5 linked regions of the Danio rerio genome follow. The protein of the gene in region 2 interacts with the protein of the main gene of each other region in a pairwise test. Links are inferred from orthologs where the notes say so. Each region holds a gene or a part of one and is shown on either strand. Other genes may lie near its edges. The genes, in order: gas7a, ntaq1, gmds, pts and nudt14.

Region 1 (3,516 bases), on a different chromosome or scaffold from region 2:
AGCTTTCAAACTTTTGGCTGCTAGGTTCAACTTATTCAAAAAAATTAATTACTTAATTCTTATTAATAGGATCCAAAAATTAGTATTTTAAGCTCCTTTTATAGATTATGTGCTAAATACACATACACTCAAAAAATGATATGTTGGCTTTAATTAACTTTTTTATGTCAACAGGTTCCACATAACCGAGTTAAGTTACCCTAAAGAAAGAATATTTATTTGAGTAAACTTAAGTTAGTTACCTAAAAGTAATGTAATGTTGTTTAGTTCAATCAACACAACATTTATAATTTAGCTTTAATTTAATTTTTTTACACTGTTAAAAAAAAAAATCTGTTAAAATTACAAAATATCCCGGCAGTGGTTGACAGGAAATTTCTGTAAAAATACGGAAGTTTTATAGGACTGTTTAAATTTACAAAAAATAACCTTATTTTATCAACTGATATAATGTTCGTTCACAAAAACCTAGTTTAGCTCATAAAAACGTAAAGTCATTTAATGCACTAATGTGTTCATGTGTGTACAATTAGCAAACAGATCTTCACTGCCTTAGTAACTACACAGTTACCCACAGTTACCTATCAGCTATCCTTAGTTAATTTTGAACTTGCACACAGATGCTACTATCCTCCACAATGGTGATATGAATTTGTCGACCCCTGGGGGTTAACTAACTATTATTCCTATCCATCCCACACGACCTTTCCCCTTAGCTGTACCCCACCCTTGACCCTTAACAAAGTCTTAAAAAAAAACCTCCAGCCCAAGGCTGCACCTTGAAATTCTGTCCATAAAAATTATTAGCAGAATTGGTGACAAGGGGCAGCCCTGCCGGAGTCCAACATGCACTGGAAACAAATCTGACTTATTCCCGGCAATGTGAACCAGACTCCTACTCTGTTCATACAGGGACGAGACATCCATTAACAAATCGCCTCTGACCCCATACTCCCCGAGCACCCTCAACAGAATGCCGCGAGAGACACTATCGAATGCCTTCTCCAAATCCACAAAACACATGTGGACTGGTTGAGCATACTCCCATGAACCCTCGAGCACCCTGGTGAGGGTATTGAGCTGGTCCAGTGTACCACAGCCCTGACGAAAACCGCAATTTTCCTCCTGGATCCTAGATTCAACCATTGGCCGGATCCTCCTCTCCAGTACCCTGGCATAGACTTTCCCCGGGAGGCTGAGGAGTGTGATCCCCCTATAGTTGGAGCACACCCTCTGGTCCCCCTTCTTAAAAATGGGAACCACCACCCCAGTTGCCCAGTCCAAAGGTACTGTCCCCGACCTCCATAAATGCTGTAAAGACGTGTCAGCAACGACAGCCCCACAACATCCAGAGACCTAAGAGACACAGGGTGAATCTCATCCACCCCCGCTGCTTTGCCACTGCGGAGCTTGCAAACCACCTTGGGTGATGGGCAAGTCCACCCCTGCATCCCCAGTCTCTGCTTCCTTGATGAAACACATATTGGTGGGGTTAAGAAGATCCTCAAAGTATTCCTTCCACGGCCCGACAACATCCCCAGTTGATGTCAACAGCTCCCCACTTCCGCTGTAAACAGCATCAATGTGGAGATGCTTTCCCCCCAACCAAGCCCTGTAGGACTCCTTTTTCAGCTTGACGGCATCCCTTACTTCAATTGTCCACCACTGGCTTCGTGGATTGCCGCCCCGACAGGCACCACAGACCTTACGACCACAGCTCCTCACGGCCGCATTAACAATAGAGTCGGAGAACATGGACCACTCAGTCTCCATGTCTCCAGCCTCCCTCGGGATCTAGTCAAAGCTCTTCCGGAGGTGAGAATAAACAATCCCTCTGACTTGGGGTTCAGCAAGACGTTACCAGAGGACCCTCACAATACGCTTGGGCCTACCAGATCTGTCCAGCTTTCCCCCTTGCCAGCGGATCCAACTCACTACCAGGTGATGATCAGTTGACAGCTCTGCCCCTCTCTTCACCCGAGTGTCTAATACATACGGTCGGAGATCAGACGATACAACCACAAAGTCGATCATTGACCTCCGCCCTAGGGTGTCCTGGTGCCATGTGCACTGATGGATACCCTTATGCTTGAACATGGTGTCTGTTATAGACAAACTGTGATTAGCACAGAAGTCCAATAACAAAACACCACGTCTCTCCAGGTATCACTGTCATTACCCACGTGGGCATTAAAGTCCCCCAGTGGAACAATGGAGTCCTCAGTCTGGGCACCTCCCAAGGACTCCAAGAAGGCCGAGTACTCTGCACTGGTGTTTGACCCGTAGGCACATACCACAGTGAGAGACCTATACCCGACCCGAAGGCACAGGGAGGCGACCCTCTCGTTCACAGGGGAAAACGCCAACACATGGCGGCTAAGTTGGGGAGCCATAAGCAAGCCCACACCATCCCGCCGCCTCTTGCCGTGAGCAACTCCAGGATAGAAGAAAGTCAAGCCATTCTCAAGAAGTTGAGTTCCAGAGCCCAAGCTATGTGTGGAGGTGAGCCCTAGTCAGTATCGTTCCACCTCCCGCACAAGCTCGGGCTCCTTCCCTCCCAGTGAGGTGACATTCCATGTCCGAAGAGCAAGTTTCTGTGCCTGACAATCGGGTTGTCGTGTTCCTAACCTTCGACCACCACCCATTCCACAATGCACTGCCCCCTTACGGCTCCCTCCTGCAGGTGGTGAGCCTGCGGGAGGATGGTAAAACAGTAGTTGTGTATTTAAATATATTTGAAACTGCTGCTACGACATTAGTAATTAACACAATTAAGCACACTTCTTTTTCGCAGGGGTTTAATCAAGACATCCAGAGAGACTGTACCTTCTCCACTGCAGCGTATCGGCTGACCAGCTGCTTTCTCAGGTCAGCAATGTGGTGGTCATATTTCTTCATGTCTTTTTTAAAGTTGTCTCCTCTGAAAGTTAATAAAGGCTTCTCCACTTCACTCTGGAGCTGGAGGCAAAAAATAATAATCTAAATCAGTCACACAGCTACAGTACATGGCATGTCTAGATACAAACATAGCGAAGTGTCTGAAATAAACCATGGGGTTTCTCCAAAACGTCATTTACTTCATTTGGATGCTCAAAATTGTCATGTTAGTAATAATGATGTTTTTTTTTTTTTTTTTTTTAAGAAAGAGGCTTTTTGTATTGCCATCTTAGTAAATCATACATGATCTGAGAGAATAATACTGCAGAATCACTTCCATCTATCTGCAATTAATCACCCACACTTGTGCTAAATGGAGCACACTAGTGTGAACAGTGGTGAAAATAGACAAATGACAGCAGACTGAAGAAAGCAGTGTAGTTCATTACAAACAGGTGGCTTATAACATCTCTTAGGGAAAGCTATTGAGTGCAGAAAAAAAATAAAGGCCAGATATCCTCCATCTTCTCTGACAGTGCACAACAATGACAATGCACAATGAGCTGTTTGTTTCTCAGCTGGTTCTCACTACACATCACTTCTATTAAGAAATGTCAAAGAGATAATTGAAAACTGCAC
Region 2 (4,297 bases):
TTGCTTAAAAACTACAGCACTACAACTGCTTACACAGTTTCGCATTTCGGTTTGGTTGTTTGTTTAAATTCTGCATTTTTATTATCTGTACATCTGTGTAACTGATTTCTTTATAAAAATAATACACATCCTCGACAAATGACAACAATGGCTTTCTTTTCTGTGACCTTTCTACCTGACTATAATTAAGCCACATTGCCAACTGTTCAATTAGTAAAAATAATTTCAGAGTCAATAAATGTGTCTTTTGAGGCCTGCTTAGTTGCAGCATTCTCCATCATAATAGGATCTTTCCCTGAGGCTCTGTTTATGTACATTTTTCAACAACAACAACAAAAAATGTGCTGGAAAAAAAGCATTACTTTACTCCAAAGTGTTTAACAAAGTCTGAAAGGCTGTAAACCTCTCCATATCCCACTCGGGGATCCATGCAGATGAAGTCATCAAGATTCATTTTGGATTCTGAAAAGGACACGTTATACATGAAAGTGGAAGAAGAAATCAAATTATAGTATTTACTGTATATAAATCTGCAATAGAAAACAAACCTGGTGTCTCTAAACATGGATATGCTGGAGGTGGCATACGCCAATTCCCATCGGAGTCCTTCATATGAGACCGATCAGAAGCAAACTCCTTCAAATAAGTGTCCCCGGGTATGACTCGAAGTTTCCTAAAAGAGCAAACAACACTTTGATTACATTCAACTAAGACTGGCTATTATTATTATAAGGGTCAAAGACATAAAGGAGTTTAAGCATTTGTTAAAAAATATATATATAAAAATAATATTATTTAATGCAAAAGTAAATTAATTGACTATTGTCCATCACCACAATTTACATAAGATGACCTCTAAAATGTAGTTAAGTGTAACAGTAGTTTAAAATACTAAGTTATATTTAAAACAAGAATAATGTGAGGCCATACTAAATGGATAACAATGCAGCCTCAAAATACTAATTCATATTAAAATCTTCATTCAATTTTGTCCTCACATTTTATGATGTGCTTTTCTTTTATAAATTTATTAAGTACTTGTTACACTTATGTTATTTCATCTTTTGTAGAATGCAGATTAGACCAGATAATACTTGCCTCCAGTAAGCAGGTTTCAAATGCTTGTCAGACTGAAAGGCCTCCATTGAATAAACGTCAAGCGAACAAGGAAATGGAAGAATGGTGTCTAAATCGTAAATGAAGCTCGGTCCTTGTTTACTTGCGTGTAGAAGAATAACATGGTAATCCTAAATGGAAAACAACATTTTTATATCAATTAGAGACTACCATAAAATATGCATAGTTTTTATACATATAAAGTTCCTACCCAAATTACTGGTTCATCCCCTCGACTGGACTTTTGTTTCCAAATAGGTATCTGAAATATTACACAATTTTTAACACACATACATACTATATATACACTCATTGGCCCCTTTTGTTTGGCACACCTTACTAGTACCGGGTTGGACCCTCTTTTGTCTTTAGAACTGCCTTAATCCTTTGTGGCATAGATTCAACAAGGTACTGGAAATATTCCTCAAGAGATTTTGGTTCATATTCACATGATAGCATTACACAGTTGCTGTGGATTTGTTGGCTGCACATCCGTGATGCGATTCTCTCATTCCACCACATCCCAAAGGTGCTCTACTGAATTGAGAGCCGGTGACTGTGGAAGTCATTTGATTACAGAACTTCATGTCATGTTTTACAAACCAGTCTGAGATGATTTGCGTTTTATGACATGGTGCGTTATCCTGCTGGAAGTAGCCATCAGAAGATGGGTACACTGGTCATAAAGGCATGGACATGGCCAGCAACAATACTCAGGTAGGCTGTGGCGTTGACACAATGCTTAATTGGTACTAATGGGCCCAATGTGTGCCAAGAAAATACCCCCCATGCCATTACACTACCACCACCTGAACCGTTGATACAAGGCAGGATGGATTCATGCTTTCATGTTGCTGACGCTAAATTCTTACCCTACCATCCGAATGTTGCAGCAGAAATTGAGACTTATCAGACCAGACAACGCTTTTCCAATCTTCTATTGTTCAATTTTGGTGAGCCAGTGTGAAATGTAGCCTCAGTTTCCTGGTCTTTGCTGACAAGAGTGGCACCCATGTGGTCTTCTGCTGCTGTAGCCCATCTCCTCAAGGTTCGAGGTTCAAAGTTACTGGAATCACCTTTCTTTCCCATTCTTATGCTTGGTTTGAACTGCAGCTGATCGTCTTGACCATGTCTACATGCCTAAATGCATTGAGTTGCTGCCATGTGATTGGCTTATTTTTGCGTTGAGCAGCAGTTGGAAAGCTGTACCTAATAAAGTGACCGGTGACTGTATACGTGTGTGTGTGTGTGTGTGTGTGTGTATATATGTATATATATATATATATATATATATATATATACATATATATATATATATATATATATATATGTATGTGTGTGTGTGTGTGTGTGTGTGTGTGTGTGTATGTATGTATATAACAGAAAACTGTACATTTCATTAAATGTAAAATACTTGTGTGGAGATGAAGCTCACCTTCTTTCTTTCATTAGATATAAATACTGCATACACCTCTTCCAAAGGACAATGTCTCTGATTCTTGATATATTCACACAATTTCCACACATTCTCCTCACTGCAACAAACATTTAAATACGTGTATGAATACGGTACGTTTTAAATTTGAAATAATGTTACAGGTATTATCGCATTTACCAGTAACAGCTGGTGTAAACACATTGGTTTCCGGACGGGGTGATCACTTTATATTCAGACGAAGCGCTTTCTTCATTCATTCTTTCCTTCCTTATATACGTGTATATACAGTAGGTTTACGCGGACTTCCAGTTATAACGACATGACAAAAGAATACATGTGTATAATGATACCATAGATATTTACATTAATATTACAATGAAGCGATTCGCGTTGCAACCGCACTGTTGCTTGTTACAATGTATCTTGTCCGTAAGGAACTTCAGGGGATTTGTCGTTCCGGCGAGACAGGTGATGCGCGAACATTCACTCCTTATGTGAATTGCAAATGTAGCACTTGCACGATTATCAGCATAAATATTAAACAGTCTAACTTTCATAAAGCATAAGTAGAAAACACGTTAGCGAAAGATAACGTGCAGTTAGGCATCGTTCTCAACTCAATACAATTAGCCAATGTATTGGTTTCTAATTTCAGAGTATCTGATTGTATTTTGTTGCACGTTAATTCGTTTTTTGCCACATACTTGTATAAATGTTTGTGGATATCTATAAATTTTTTTTGTGAACTATATTTTGTTTTAAACTGAAAATGTGTTTCTGTTTCTAATGCATGTTTATCTCAAACCCTTTCATTTCTCTATACATGTTCACTCATTATAGAGTCCTGACAATATGTTTCAAACTATCAGTCCATTCAAATTGTCTACCAAAACCACAGTATGAGTTAATATTAAGGAGGTTAGCACATAGTCTAAATGAATAACTATGTAGTCTTGTCAAAAGTTGTCTTGGTTCACACTTGCTTTGGTCATAAAAAGCCACAAAATGTTCTAAATATATATGCGTACAAGATGTCTTTTGTAAAATAAGGTAAATATTTTTTTGGATTAAATATATCACATTCTGAGAGATGTATTTATTTACTTGTACAACTGTTTTATTACACTTTTTATTGTTTTCATAGGCTAAATCCCCATTTCTGAGCCACAAATAAACAGCTCTTTACACTTTTACCGTTTAAGAATCCACTATTTGCTAACGTGTTTGTTTAAAATGAAATTTGATAACATTCAAATACTTATGATGTTATAAAGTAAGCTAAACCAACAAATATTAACCATATTCTTTTAACAAGATGTATAGGGCCACCTATGTTTTGAGGTGTAGCCATCAGAAAAAGCCCACCATTAACACCTCGTTTTTAGGAATGTCTTTTACTAATGATCTCATTAGCACTTGTGGACCCACTGATTTGAGAGCTGGTGAACTGGAAAAACCACGAATAAAATAGTTGAAATTGCACTTTATTTTTGTTACTTTTTAATAAAATGATCTTTCTTTCTATTTGACTGTAATGCTTTGTGTACTTAACATAGTGTAAACATAGACACTTTTCTTATGCAAAAAAATAATAAAAAATGCACAACCAATTTCACTTAACATTAGTAACACCAAATAGTGAAGAATACACCCTACTTGCATTTTACTTGCTTAATATAAAACCACTTTTGTTATTTTTATGTGGGTGCCAAAATTTTAAGCTATTTCTCTTCGTTAAATAAA
Region 3 (3,039 bases), on a different chromosome or scaffold from region 2:
AAAATATAACGGCGCAGGCGCGGTGACTGACTGCAAAACACCTAGTTCAAAAATGGATCCACCCAAATTGGGTTCAAATATGGAATAATCCAACTCTTGAGTTAAATCTGAATCAAAATAAATAAAAAATGTAGCCCAACCTTTGAATTTGTTTGAAACAGTCCAGCATTTTTGAAAAACTTGCAAATCTTTTGTTTTTAGCCTACTGAGTCAGCATTACTAGTCTATGTGTTTAGCCTAATTCAAATACATGAGTAAATAATTAAAACAATGCTTAAAAAAAACATTATAAATTGACTGTTATCACATACTAAATTGCTATGTTTAAAAAACCTATAAAACAAGAGCATCATTCCATCTTCTTATAATGTAATGTAGTATAGTAAAATAGTTTTGAAAAATATATATAGAATTACCAGTGCCAGCACAAATACCACATTATTAAACAACAGAGGTCAAAACCAACACTGAAATGCATTGAAAACACAGTAAAACACACACACACACACACACTTGAAAGAACTTCATATTCTGTATTTGAATCTTAAATAGGAACAGGAGACTTTTTTAAAACGTTTTCAAACCAATTAATGACATTATTTCCATTCAAACAATCACATGAATTAAACGGCATTAGAGAACTTTAAAAAGCTCTACAAACCCTTTATCCCTTATTTATACTTTTTTCCATGATTACAAATAAAAACCACTTTATAAAAATGAATAAAAATCATTTCAACAGAATCAACTAAGTATCCAAACACACAATCATAAATATTAAAGTATTTAAAAATGTAAAAAGGCAACAACCAAGGACCCTAAGAACACAGGGAAAGTGTTATCAGAAGAGAAAATGACAGACGGAGCAACAGAAATGCATTTGAGTGCTTCTTCCATTGGCTACACAAACACAAAACAAGCGCCTCTTTGGCATGCGTGGAGATGAAGGCGTGTGGGTTCAGGCATTTGGGTTGTTCTGCATGAGCTTGATGTCCGCGTCCACCATTTCTTTAACAAGCTCCTGTTGAAACACACAAGCACTGATTATTTCTCAATCTCGAGAGCATTGGAAGTGAAGCGCTTTGATTTCATACAGAAACGCTCACCTCAAATGTTACACGTGGTTTCCAGCCTAGAACCTTAAAGGCTTTGGAACTGTCTCCCTGCAAGTAGTCCTAGAAAAAGAGAGAAAATGAGAGTGAGTGGCGGGGAGAGAGTGAGAGAAAAAAAACAATGACGAAGAAGAAAAAAGGCAAAGGGGTGGTTAAGTTCTTTATTAAGCCGGACCTCCCAACTCTTCTTCTTCTCTTTCTCTCTCTCACACACACACAACCCACACACACAGGTGTCAAGCTCCATGTCTCTGGGGGAAGGTGAGGGCCGAGGCAGGCTATCCATCCAGGACCCCCTCTTTTCCAGCCCTCTCCCAATGCCAGAGCATGATGGATTATGTGACTCTCGTGGCCTAACCCTTTCTGTTCTCCTGCTGGGACGCTAACACACACACACACAAACACACACACACACACACACGCACACGCACACACACACTTGTGCAGCTAGAGGTGCTTCTCAGGGTGGCAGTAAAGGGTTTCGAGGGTGTCCTTGCTGCTGATCTGATTACACAAGAAGCCAGAACACACACACACACACACACATGTGCATTTACAACAGCACTTTTGTGTTTTGACAAATGAGCGCTCTTGTTCCAAGGGCCCATATTTTAATTCTGAACCCTGAGACGTTACAGTCATGGTTCCATTTTAGCTCCAATTAAATCATTTAAATGACATAACCATATTTTAAAGCCTAATTAGCCAAATAGCATTCATTCATCAACATGCGAAATGGCATGCAACCATCATAATCAAGACACGTATTAATGCGGCAGATTAATCATAATTAGTCTTCACTTTTTTGAAAGCTAAATTAGCATCAGCTGCATTTGTCGCCCATCCAAGGCTTCACATGCAAAACTGCGTCCCGACAATGGAAGTAAGCTAGAATGGTATTAATGCGGTGAGGATTGCGTGTGCTGGAGAATCAGTGCTTGTTGCTATTAAATAGAAAGTCAGCAAGTCAAGACATATCAATTGCACAGTGGAAGGTTACAGGAGGATTTTGGTTTCAGACACTGCTTGTTTAAAGTAGTTCTATACATCTGAGGGTTTAAAACAGAAGTCGCACCAGCATAAATAGTAAATAAAATGAAGATAAACAATATAAAAAAGCGATAATCTTCATATGGGTGTATTTTTATTGTGTGTGACTGTGCACTTAACCTAAAGGAATTCAGGACTACTGGAAAGACAGACCTAGACATACGTCAAGCTGTTTTTTTTTTTTTAAGAACTCGCGTCTTGATTACACAAGACTGAAAATACACTACATGCATGTATCATATGCAGTGTATACATAAAACCAATTTAAGCATGCTGTTTTGTATACTATACACACACATATAAACAGGTCAATGGTCCTGTGCTCTATTGTCGGACAGAAGTCAAGAGGTCAAATCCACAAAAGCAGTGTGTCCTGATCCACAAACAAAATATCCATATTGTTCGTAAACATGTACAGTGCTCAGTATGAATAAGTACACCTTATTTTGAAAATGAATATTTTCCTCCATTGCTTAGTGAATATAAGTGATATATTTTGGGTGCATTCAAACAAAACACATTTATTAAACAGATATATTTATTCAAATAATATTTTAACCACATATTCATGTGAAATATTGGGAAAAAAATACAAACTACAACATTTCAACTAAATGTTTTCTAATTTTTGCTTTTCTTGATTTTTCAGCTTTTTTCAAATTTGCATTAAATATTTTTAATATTTTTCTATAAATTTGGGTGTACTAGTTTTTAGACTATTATCGCAAGTTATTTTGTTAAATAAACTCCAGATTTGGCTTCAGTACTGACTAATCTAATGTATATGCAGAAATATAATATTGTAAAGCTTCCTATTAAAAATATGAATTCAAAAGACAGATTTGTGAGGGGTGGACTTATATATGCTGAGCACTGT
Region 4 (4,089 bases), on a different chromosome or scaffold from region 2:
CACAAAATTGAGTCTATTCTCCTCTGTAGATCACGATGTTTTTGGCCGTCTCGTAGACTTTGATCTCGTACAGGCTGTCGTGAGGCAGCAGCTTCTGCAGGCCGTCCCAGATGAACACTGACAGGTTCTCTGTGGTGCTGCGGGACACAAACAAACATCAGAGTCTCTGATCAATCACTCACACACACACAAACACACAAACACACACACAGGGCAGATTCATACCTGACAACATCTGCAAAATACGGCACATCCAGGTCCAGGTTTTTATGGTCAAGAGGCTTCATGACGGCCTCCTAAACACATTATTGACATTTAATTAATATTTTTATTAATTATTTATTTTAGTATAAATAAACCCAGCACTGGGAAACACCCATACACACTCATTATTGCTATACCTGATTATAGGTAATCATTCATTTATTCATTTTCCTTTGGCTTAGTCCCTTTATTAATCAGAAGTCGCCACAGCGGAATGAACCACCAACTATTCCAGCACATGTTTTACACAGCAAATGCCCTTCCAGCTGCAACCCAGCACTGGGAAACACCCATACACTCTCATTCTCATTTTCACACACACACTTACACACACACACACACACACACACACACACACACACACACACACACACACACACACACACACACACACACACACACACACACACACACACACAACGGCCAGTTTAGTTGATCAGTTCCCCTATAGCGCATGTGTTTAGACTGTGGGGGAAACCGGAGCACCCGGAGGAAACCCACACCAACACGGGGAGAACATGCAAACTCCACACAGAAACACCAACTGACCCAGCCGAGACTCAAACCAGAGACCTTCTTGCTGTGAGGCCACAGTGCTAACCACTGAGCCACCATGTCACCCTTTATGAATTAGTTATTGATAATAGTAATATTAATAATAGTTAATATTAATAATAGTACTATTATTACATTTAATTTATTAAATAGATTCAATATGCTTATTATTTTGATAGCCAAAAATCAATTCATGGTATAATTTGTTAATTAATAAATATGTTACGTGTAAAAAAAAAAGACTCATTTCATTTAAAAACATTCTATTTTCCCTTCTAAAAAGTATATTTTTCTATACAGTGTGTATATATATATATATATATATATATATATATATATATATATATATATATATATATATATATATATGTATGTATGTATACAATTATATTTAAAATTTAATAAGCAGTAGATTACATGCAAAAAATTCTCCAGTCACACTTTGCATTAAGGTTTCATTAGTTAATGCGATTACATGACATAAGAATGAACAAGACCTGTACAGCATTTATCAATATATTAATTATTAACTGATGGCTGTACCTCAATAAACTCCTTCAGATCAGTGAGGTTCATCACCATTCCTGTGTTCTTGTCGATCTATGAAAACAGAAATACAGTCGTGTGCATTTACAATACTATAGCACAGAGCACTGCATATATGCTTATAGACAGTTCTGCCATACCTTTCCACGCACCGTCACTTCAACTAGAACAGAAATGAAGCATATGAAGAGATTTACTTGAGCTCTTGCACGACATAAGAGAGACACTGATAATGCGATCATAATTAATAGCACATATTTAATAACTCGCCTGTATAGTTATGGCCATGACCATTAGGATTGTTGCATTTCCCAAACGTTCTCTTATTCTCCTCATCACTCAAACATTTACTGAAATACATCCAATAAATGCATTAACAACAACAACAACAACAACAACAACAACAACAACAACAACAGCAATGCATCACATTCCAGCCAAACTAAACATAGGAAATACTCTGAAAACCGACATGATCTGTTAAAGATCACTTGCAAAATATATGAAAAAAAAAAAAATAATTTCATAGGGCTAATAATAATAATAATAATAATAATAATAATAAAAATAATAATAATAATAATAAATCAATGACTAAAAATAAGCAGTAACAAAGATCATGTTTTAGTAAATTCAGTGTTTAGATTTGTTAAAGTTTCTCCTTGTTTCCAACATTTAAAAAATAATTTCTGACTTTTATTTCAATCCTTGACACATTTAAAGAGAAAATAGTGCCTTAACCCCCTACTGAAATGTAAATTACATTATAGTATTATTCGATGTTTTATTTATTGCACTATTTAGTTTATTATATGCTGCTTGGATATACAGTAGTGTGTAAATACATGTTTAACAATGGAAGATGAGAGTTTGTTTGTTATTTGAAGGTTTAATCAAAGAGGATGAAATAAAGTGAAAGAAAATCACTGTTACGCGTGGTCACGTTAAACTACACTTCCCAGAATTCCTCCCTGTTGACGCAGGCGTGTTTCTGACTTCCTGCAACAAGTACTTTTCGCAATCCAGACTGCTTGTAGAAATATTATCAACGAATTTACGCAAAACTGTTGTACGACATTTCACGTTGTGCTCATGAAAGTGTGTTAGCATGAAAATACAAAGAATAAGATTAGTAAAAACAGCGCGCGCACACACATGCACGCGCCGGACAAAAGCGTGCAGATATAAAGCGTTACAGCTGAAAATATCCCTCAGTGACCGTTTACAGGTGGCTAGTTACTGATTAGTTATTTAGTTAATTAATTGATTAGTTAGTTAATTACCTGTGTAGTCTGTGGCAGGCGCTGAAGCTGCAGACGCGCGTGATGAAGGCGACGCGTTCACTCATCCTCCTCCTCTCCTCTATCAGCAGATCTACGACTGAACACGAGATATGAATATATATTTCTATCTATATATATGATTTCTGATGATTTGTGCTCAGTGGAGGCGGGGCTTCGCGGATCCTCCCCTCATATGCAGCTCATAATCGATTATACCGTGACGTCAGCACTCCCCACGTGCACGAGCGTCATGTGTTTTCTGCATTTCTCACACTCTGATCAGACAAAAGTGTTATTATTCAGTTTTACATGCATATACGTGTGTGTGTGTGTGTTTATTGATCATGCATTTATTTACTTGATCAGCAATATTTAGCTCTGTAATGTTCTGTAAATGAAGATCTATTTAAATATATATGAGAAAATAGCATTAAATCTGTATTTTCAGCAGCATCAGCTCAGAAATCTCTCTAAAAGAACAGGTATTGGTGTTTAATTATTATACAATCAAGAAGAGTTTTAATTTTGCTTGATAATTTAGTGAAGTGAAATATAACAATATAAAAAAGAGAATAGATAAATAGTGTACACGTCTTTACTATCACTTTTGATCAATTTGTTTATAATGTTTAATTAATTATGAAGCATTTTACATTTCTATAACAGTTTCCACAGAATACATCAGATGACAGCTATATGCTTTGTTTTCTTCCATTATCTACCATAAAAACACCTAAACTTACTTTTCATTACTAATATGCATTCCTAAGAGCTTCATTTGTTCAATCATGAAGTTGATTTGATCAACATTTAGATTTTTTTTAACCCTCGGATTCCATATATCTTGAAATAATCATATCTCAGACAAATATTAACAAACCAAATGTCAAGGGAAATGGTTTATTCAATTAATAAAAATATTAAAAATGACTGGCTTTGTGGTGATTTGTAAAATGTTCCTCAAAATGTATTATTTAATTGTATTTTTCATTTTAAAACTGCAGGTTAAATTTAATAATGAAAAAAAAAAAAAAAAAAAAATATATATATATATATATATATATATATATATATATATATATTATATATATATATATATATATATATATATATATATATATATATATATATTATTTATATATTATATATATTATATATATTATATATATATATATTATATATATATATATATATATATATATATATATATATATATATATATATATATATATATATATATTTCCCAAATGATATTGAACATATTCAGAAGATGTTCACAGTATGTCTGATAATATTTGTTCTTCAGGAGAGTCTTATTTGTTTTATTTCGGCTAGAATAAAAGCAGTTATTCATATTTTTAACACCATTTTAAGATCAACATTATTATATGTGTTCACAAAGTGAGGACCACCCCCCTGTACATGGCCCTGTTTCTCACTA
Region 5 (4,137 bases), on a different chromosome or scaffold from region 2:
TTGAATAATTTTTTTTTGTGTGGGCTGATGCGTTTACTGCGTTTGTATACAAGTGATGGTAATTTTTTTTTATCAGTTTACAACTTGCAAAGACCTTATAAAAAGTGTGGAAGTCAAAAACAACACCAAAACCTCCTGTGACATAAACTAAGAACACTTTTAAAACGTAATGTGCAATTCTAAGGTCTACCAAATGACTCAAAAAAACATAAATTAGTTTGGGGATGATTGCAAACATCTGATTGGTCAGTGCTGCTGCACTCCAAACAATGCTGAACTAAACCTTGAGAAATGGTAAATGTTCAATGTTTAGCAACATTCTGCTATATTAAATACTACAAGAGCTGAAATATGTCTCGCAAATTTATATACTCACAATTAATCACATCATTTTTAAGAAAATACACCAATGAATTGCAAGGTTTGTTAACGCATTATTAAAATAGTTTTGTTAGTGCTCTGTGAGTTACCAAACTTTAAAAAATATTAATCATTCATTCATTCATTATCTTTTCAGCACCTTTTTTTTATCTTTCCACAGCGGAATGAACCGTCAACTTATTCAGCATTTGTTTTATGCAGCGGATGCGCTTCCAGCAGCAACCCATTACTGGGAAAACAAATATCAATAAATACTGTAATAAAGTAAATTTTTGTTCATGGTATTATTAAATAATGCATTAACTAACTTTATTAATCTAACCTTATCGATTTAATAACTAATTTAATCAAATTAAATATAAAACCAAAGCTGTGTCACTGCCAGGGCATGTAGTGATCATTACATCAGTGTCACGCATCTACCGCAAACCAGAGCAATTCACCTTAGTCGAATATTTTACACAAGTACTGTATAATAAAGATGTGAAGCATCTTGCAAAAAGAATTGAAGATGTTATAGCTGGGCAGGGTTGTCCACCTCCATATTAAACACTACAGATTAAGATTAGGATGTCATTAAACGTGCAGCATGTAAAATGGATCCAAATGGTTAAACCAAGTATTGTAGTCCAAAATCAAAACACTTTTTTACCCTGTCCCACCTCCAGACGCAGGATACCAGATTGAAGTCAGGAGTGACTGTGCCTGACTATTGGGCCTACACTGTAACTACAGACGACTTCATGCGATAAAATGAATCTTTTTCAATGTTAAAAGGAGTTTTCATAATACCCATGACCTGATATTTTTATTCTACAAAGGGTTTCTGGGTCTATTCTTCGTAGCCAAAATAAACACCATAAAACTACCATGACAATGATCACCTCTGGTACTGATAATTTGCTTTATTTAATGTTAATGCTACCAGTGTGAGTTTAAATGCCATTTTATATGACATGTATATCCATAATGAAAAAGCCATATAGTTTACCTTAAATTTTAAAATTAAAAATAAACATATAACTTTAAAATAGCTTTAAAATAAATGTTAGAACTGCATCTCAGTGAAAACCAACAAATATGAGTCAAATATCGGTGCTAAAGTTAAACTGGCAGAGGGCAAGTTATAGAGGCCAAAAGCACATTCTGCAATTTTACAATGCAGAATAAATGACATTTAGTATTGTTTTTCATATAAACAAGTGTGTTACCTCGGCATGTTTCTAAAATATTGGCCAACTTATGCTTAAGAGGAGTCAAAAACTTACATTCAGCTTGTTTAATGATAGACATGGCTTTTGAGCATTCCAGTGTCCGTGTATAAGCAACAAGCAGCATAGCAACTGTCATTGTAACCAATTTACTATGGTTCCTAAAATATGTTAGAGGCTAGTGCATGAATTTTAAACATTGATCAAAAATGACTCACTAGACCTACCTGTGCATTAAACAATTTGAACAAGACTATGAAATAAATAGACAGCATATACTGTATGGCCAAAAATACACTGTATGGGTAAAAATTTCAGACTTTTTTTAAGCCAGACGTCATTAGATTATGTAGAGATCATGTTCCATGAGCATATTTTGTAAATGAACTGTCATAAATACAGCTAAATACTATATTTGACTGTCACTGTCCCACAAGCCAAAACTTTTAGCTAATATTTAATAGAAAATAAACAAAATTGAAGTGAACTTAAAATTATCATGATAATAATTATATATATATAAAAGTTAAAAAGCCTTGTAATAACCCCCAATAATACTTGTGTTTTTTCAATATTTCAATAAGAGCCATATAAAGGGTTAAGCGGATGAAGTACTAAAATCACATATAGAATTACTATTTTTGGTTATTAGATAGATAGATAGATAGATAGATAGATAGATAGATAGATAGATAGATAGATAGATAGATAGATAGATAGATAGATAATAACTTAGCTTGTCCACTAGCATGTATATATCAGGATAGTATATCATTACTTTGCAGCAGTAGCTGTGCAATATTGTGTGCATCAGGCTTTTAATAAAGCCTTTGTATGGCAGCTGTGCTGGTTTTAATGTAAAGCATGTGCTCGAGGGAAAGTGACTGCCTTCCTGTCTATAGCTAAATAGCATCTTGCTAGTTAAGCTAAGATCACAAAACACGATATCAGCAACATATTCTTTTCAATACATCGTTTGTCATCCTGATGTTATAGTCATGGTGAAACATCAGACGCAATGTTGGTCGATAAAAGCAATGACAGAATGAATGGGGGTTGGGCTGCTGACAGCAAAATGATGAGGTGTGACCGCATCACTGACAGATGATAACGTGCGATGAAACTATAGCGACTCACCTGGTTATAATGCACCCTAAACGGTCTCAAATAGTTCGAGCTGGTGCACGGAACCACCTGAATGTTATTGATCTGCTCCATGGCTTTGACAAAGCTGCCCACGGGTACTTCTCACCACAGATGGCAGAGCCGCAGACTACTGGAGAATGAGGGAAACGTCTACGGAAGCCTGGGAAGGACAGAATAAGAGCGCTGTTCGTCTTTGCGTTGTAGTAATGTTCTACAGAGATGACTCTGTGGGCTGCGGCGCAGAAAACCGCCAGTCAGCGTTAGTTGCGGGTGGATGAGGTCATTCGCTTTCTCATTTGATTTAAGGTTAAATGACGGACTCTGTCGCCTCAGCACGTCCTCTTTCAAGCTTTACAGCGCGCGCGCCTGACGCGCGAATGCAGGTGTGCTTGACTCGTGCTGACTGAACCTCAGATTTAGCGCCAACTTCAGGGAGCGCGCGATTTTGTAAATAAACCGCCAAAAGCCCTACATTTAGTAACTTTCTGTAAATCTTTACAGAGACTTTCAGGGCTAGTGAATTATTAATTTTACCCAGCATCTTCTTCTAGGATAAATGTATCATCTTGTGTTATTGTAGATAAAATGACAACTGATCCGAAAAATAATCGATTTAGCTCTTCTAACATTGATAAAATGTGGCCTTAAAGTGAATATACTGTCTGTCTGTGTGTTCATATAAGCACAATAAAGCGGAATTAGTTCACATCCACACGTGGTTTAATTCACACACATCCTATTCCTAGCATGACAAACTTAATCTTTGCTGTTTCAGTACTATATAGAAAAAATGCACCAAAATGCAAAAATCATACTACTTTTATACTTTGCAGTACATTCCATTCAAAACTCAGCCTTTCTGTCTTGCAACTTACATGTTTCATCCTCATTTTCTGTCTTTCACTCCACGATTGCAAAGTAAATCTTTATGCTTATCTGATTCCCTTAAAGCATTTGTGATCTACGAGGAACCATCTAAACATATGGTTTCAATGTAGTTTAGAGAAAACAGAAGAATATATTTGACACTGATGTTTTAAGAATCCCAAAGGTAAGCTGTAAGCATCAGGATGGGTGCAGGTTTCTTATCTGACCTTATGCTTTTGCTAACGTCTCATACAAACCAGCTGAAGAAGCTTATCCCCTCTTCCTTGAGACATCTTTACTTATTCTTTTCCTTCAATAGTTAAGCCTTAGTAAACAGTGACATATGAGGTAGCAACTCTGAAGGACACTTAAAATGGTTCAGCTGTATGTTTAAACTGTTTACAACAGTGTCTTGAGAGCTGGGGATGTTTGTGAGTTACCTTTTCTTTACAAGCACTGAAAGTGCAAAACTGTCACCTCTATATGTAGGGTAACAATTTTTTTCTGCGAATACAGCTTTCACACTCAGAAA

What was found.
Region 1: the proteins of ntaq1 (region 2) and gas7a interact in binary tests that used the Homo sapiens proteins (3 or more experiments, as listed by UniProt). The two-hybrid records come from large-scale screens. The link is inferred for Danio rerio from reciprocal best matches to the Homo sapiens genes NTAQ1 and GAS7.
Region 3: the proteins of ntaq1 (region 2) and gmds interact in binary tests that used the Homo sapiens proteins (3 or more experiments, as listed by UniProt). The two-hybrid records come from large-scale screens. The link is inferred for Danio rerio from reciprocal best matches to the Homo sapiens genes NTAQ1 and GMDS.
Region 4: the proteins of ntaq1 (region 2) and pts interact in binary tests that used the Homo sapiens proteins (3 or more experiments, as listed by UniProt). The two-hybrid records come from large-scale screens. The link is inferred for Danio rerio from reciprocal best matches to the Homo sapiens genes NTAQ1 and PTS.
Region 5: the proteins of ntaq1 (region 2) and nudt14 interact in binary tests that used the Homo sapiens proteins (3 or more experiments, as listed by UniProt). The two-hybrid records come from large-scale screens. The link is inferred for Danio rerio from reciprocal best matches to the Homo sapiens genes NTAQ1 and NUDT14.

The regions. Positions count from the first base shown.
Region 1 is NC_133178.1:51,516,333-51,519,848, reverse strand, and holds part of gas7a (growth arrest-specific protein 7a), read right to left. Parts: intron 2,959-3,516; coding exon 2,827-2,958; intron 1-2,826. UniProt on the Homo sapiens protein: May play a role in promoting maturation and morphological differentiation of cerebellar neurons.
Region 2 is NC_133194.1:37,454,431-37,458,727, reverse strand, and holds ntaq1 (protein N-terminal glutamine amidohydrolase), read right to left. Parts: upstream 2,812-4,297; coding exon 2,732-2,811; intron 2,652-2,731; coding exon 2,552-2,651; intron 1,379-2,551; coding exon 1,328-1,378; intron 1,248-1,327; coding exon 1,099-1,247; intron 674-1,098; coding exon 549-673; intron 463-548; coding exon 359-462; 3' UTR 343-358; downstream 1-342. Other genes in the region: psma2b (proteasome_alpha_type_2 domain-containing protein), read left to right, coding at 1-8. UniProt on the Homo sapiens protein: Mediates the side-chain deamidation of N-terminal glutamine residues to glutamate, an important step in N-end rule pathway of protein degradation.
Region 3 is NC_133195.1:29,424,502-29,427,540, forward strand, and holds the end of gmds (GDP-mannose 4,6 dehydratase), read right to left. Parts: intron 1,176-3,039; coding exon 1,107-1,175; intron 1,022-1,106; coding exon 959-1,021; 3' UTR 514-958; downstream 1-513. UniProt on the Homo sapiens protein: Catalyzes the conversion of GDP-D-mannose to GDP-4-dehydro-6-deoxy-D-mannose.
Region 4 is NC_133187.1:498,404-502,492, forward strand, and holds the start of pts (6-pyruvoyl tetrahydrobiopterin synthase), read right to left. Parts: upstream 2,807-4,089; 5' UTR 2,714-2,806; coding exon 2,649-2,713; intron 1,716-2,648; coding exon 1,636-1,715; intron 1,529-1,635; coding exon 1,506-1,528; intron 1,420-1,505; coding exon 1,363-1,419; intron 297-1,362; coding exon 226-296; intron 138-225; coding exon 14-137; 3' UTR 1-13. UniProt on the Homo sapiens protein: Involved in the biosynthesis of tetrahydrobiopterin, an essential cofactor of aromatic amino acid hydroxylases. Catalyzes the transformation of 7,8-dihydroneopterin triphosphate into 6-pyruvoyl tetrahydropterin.
Region 5 is NC_133195.1:23,812,513-23,816,649, reverse strand, and holds the start of nudt14 (uridine diphosphate glucose pyrophosphatase NUDT14), read right to left. Parts: upstream 2,811-4,137; coding exon 2,730-2,810; intron 1-2,729. UniProt on the Homo sapiens protein: Hydrolyzes UDP-glucose to glucose 1-phosphate and UMP and ADP-ribose to ribose 5-phosphate and AMP. The physiological substrate is probably UDP-glucose. Poor activity on other substrates such as ADP-glucose, CDP-glucose, GDP-glucose and GDP-mannose.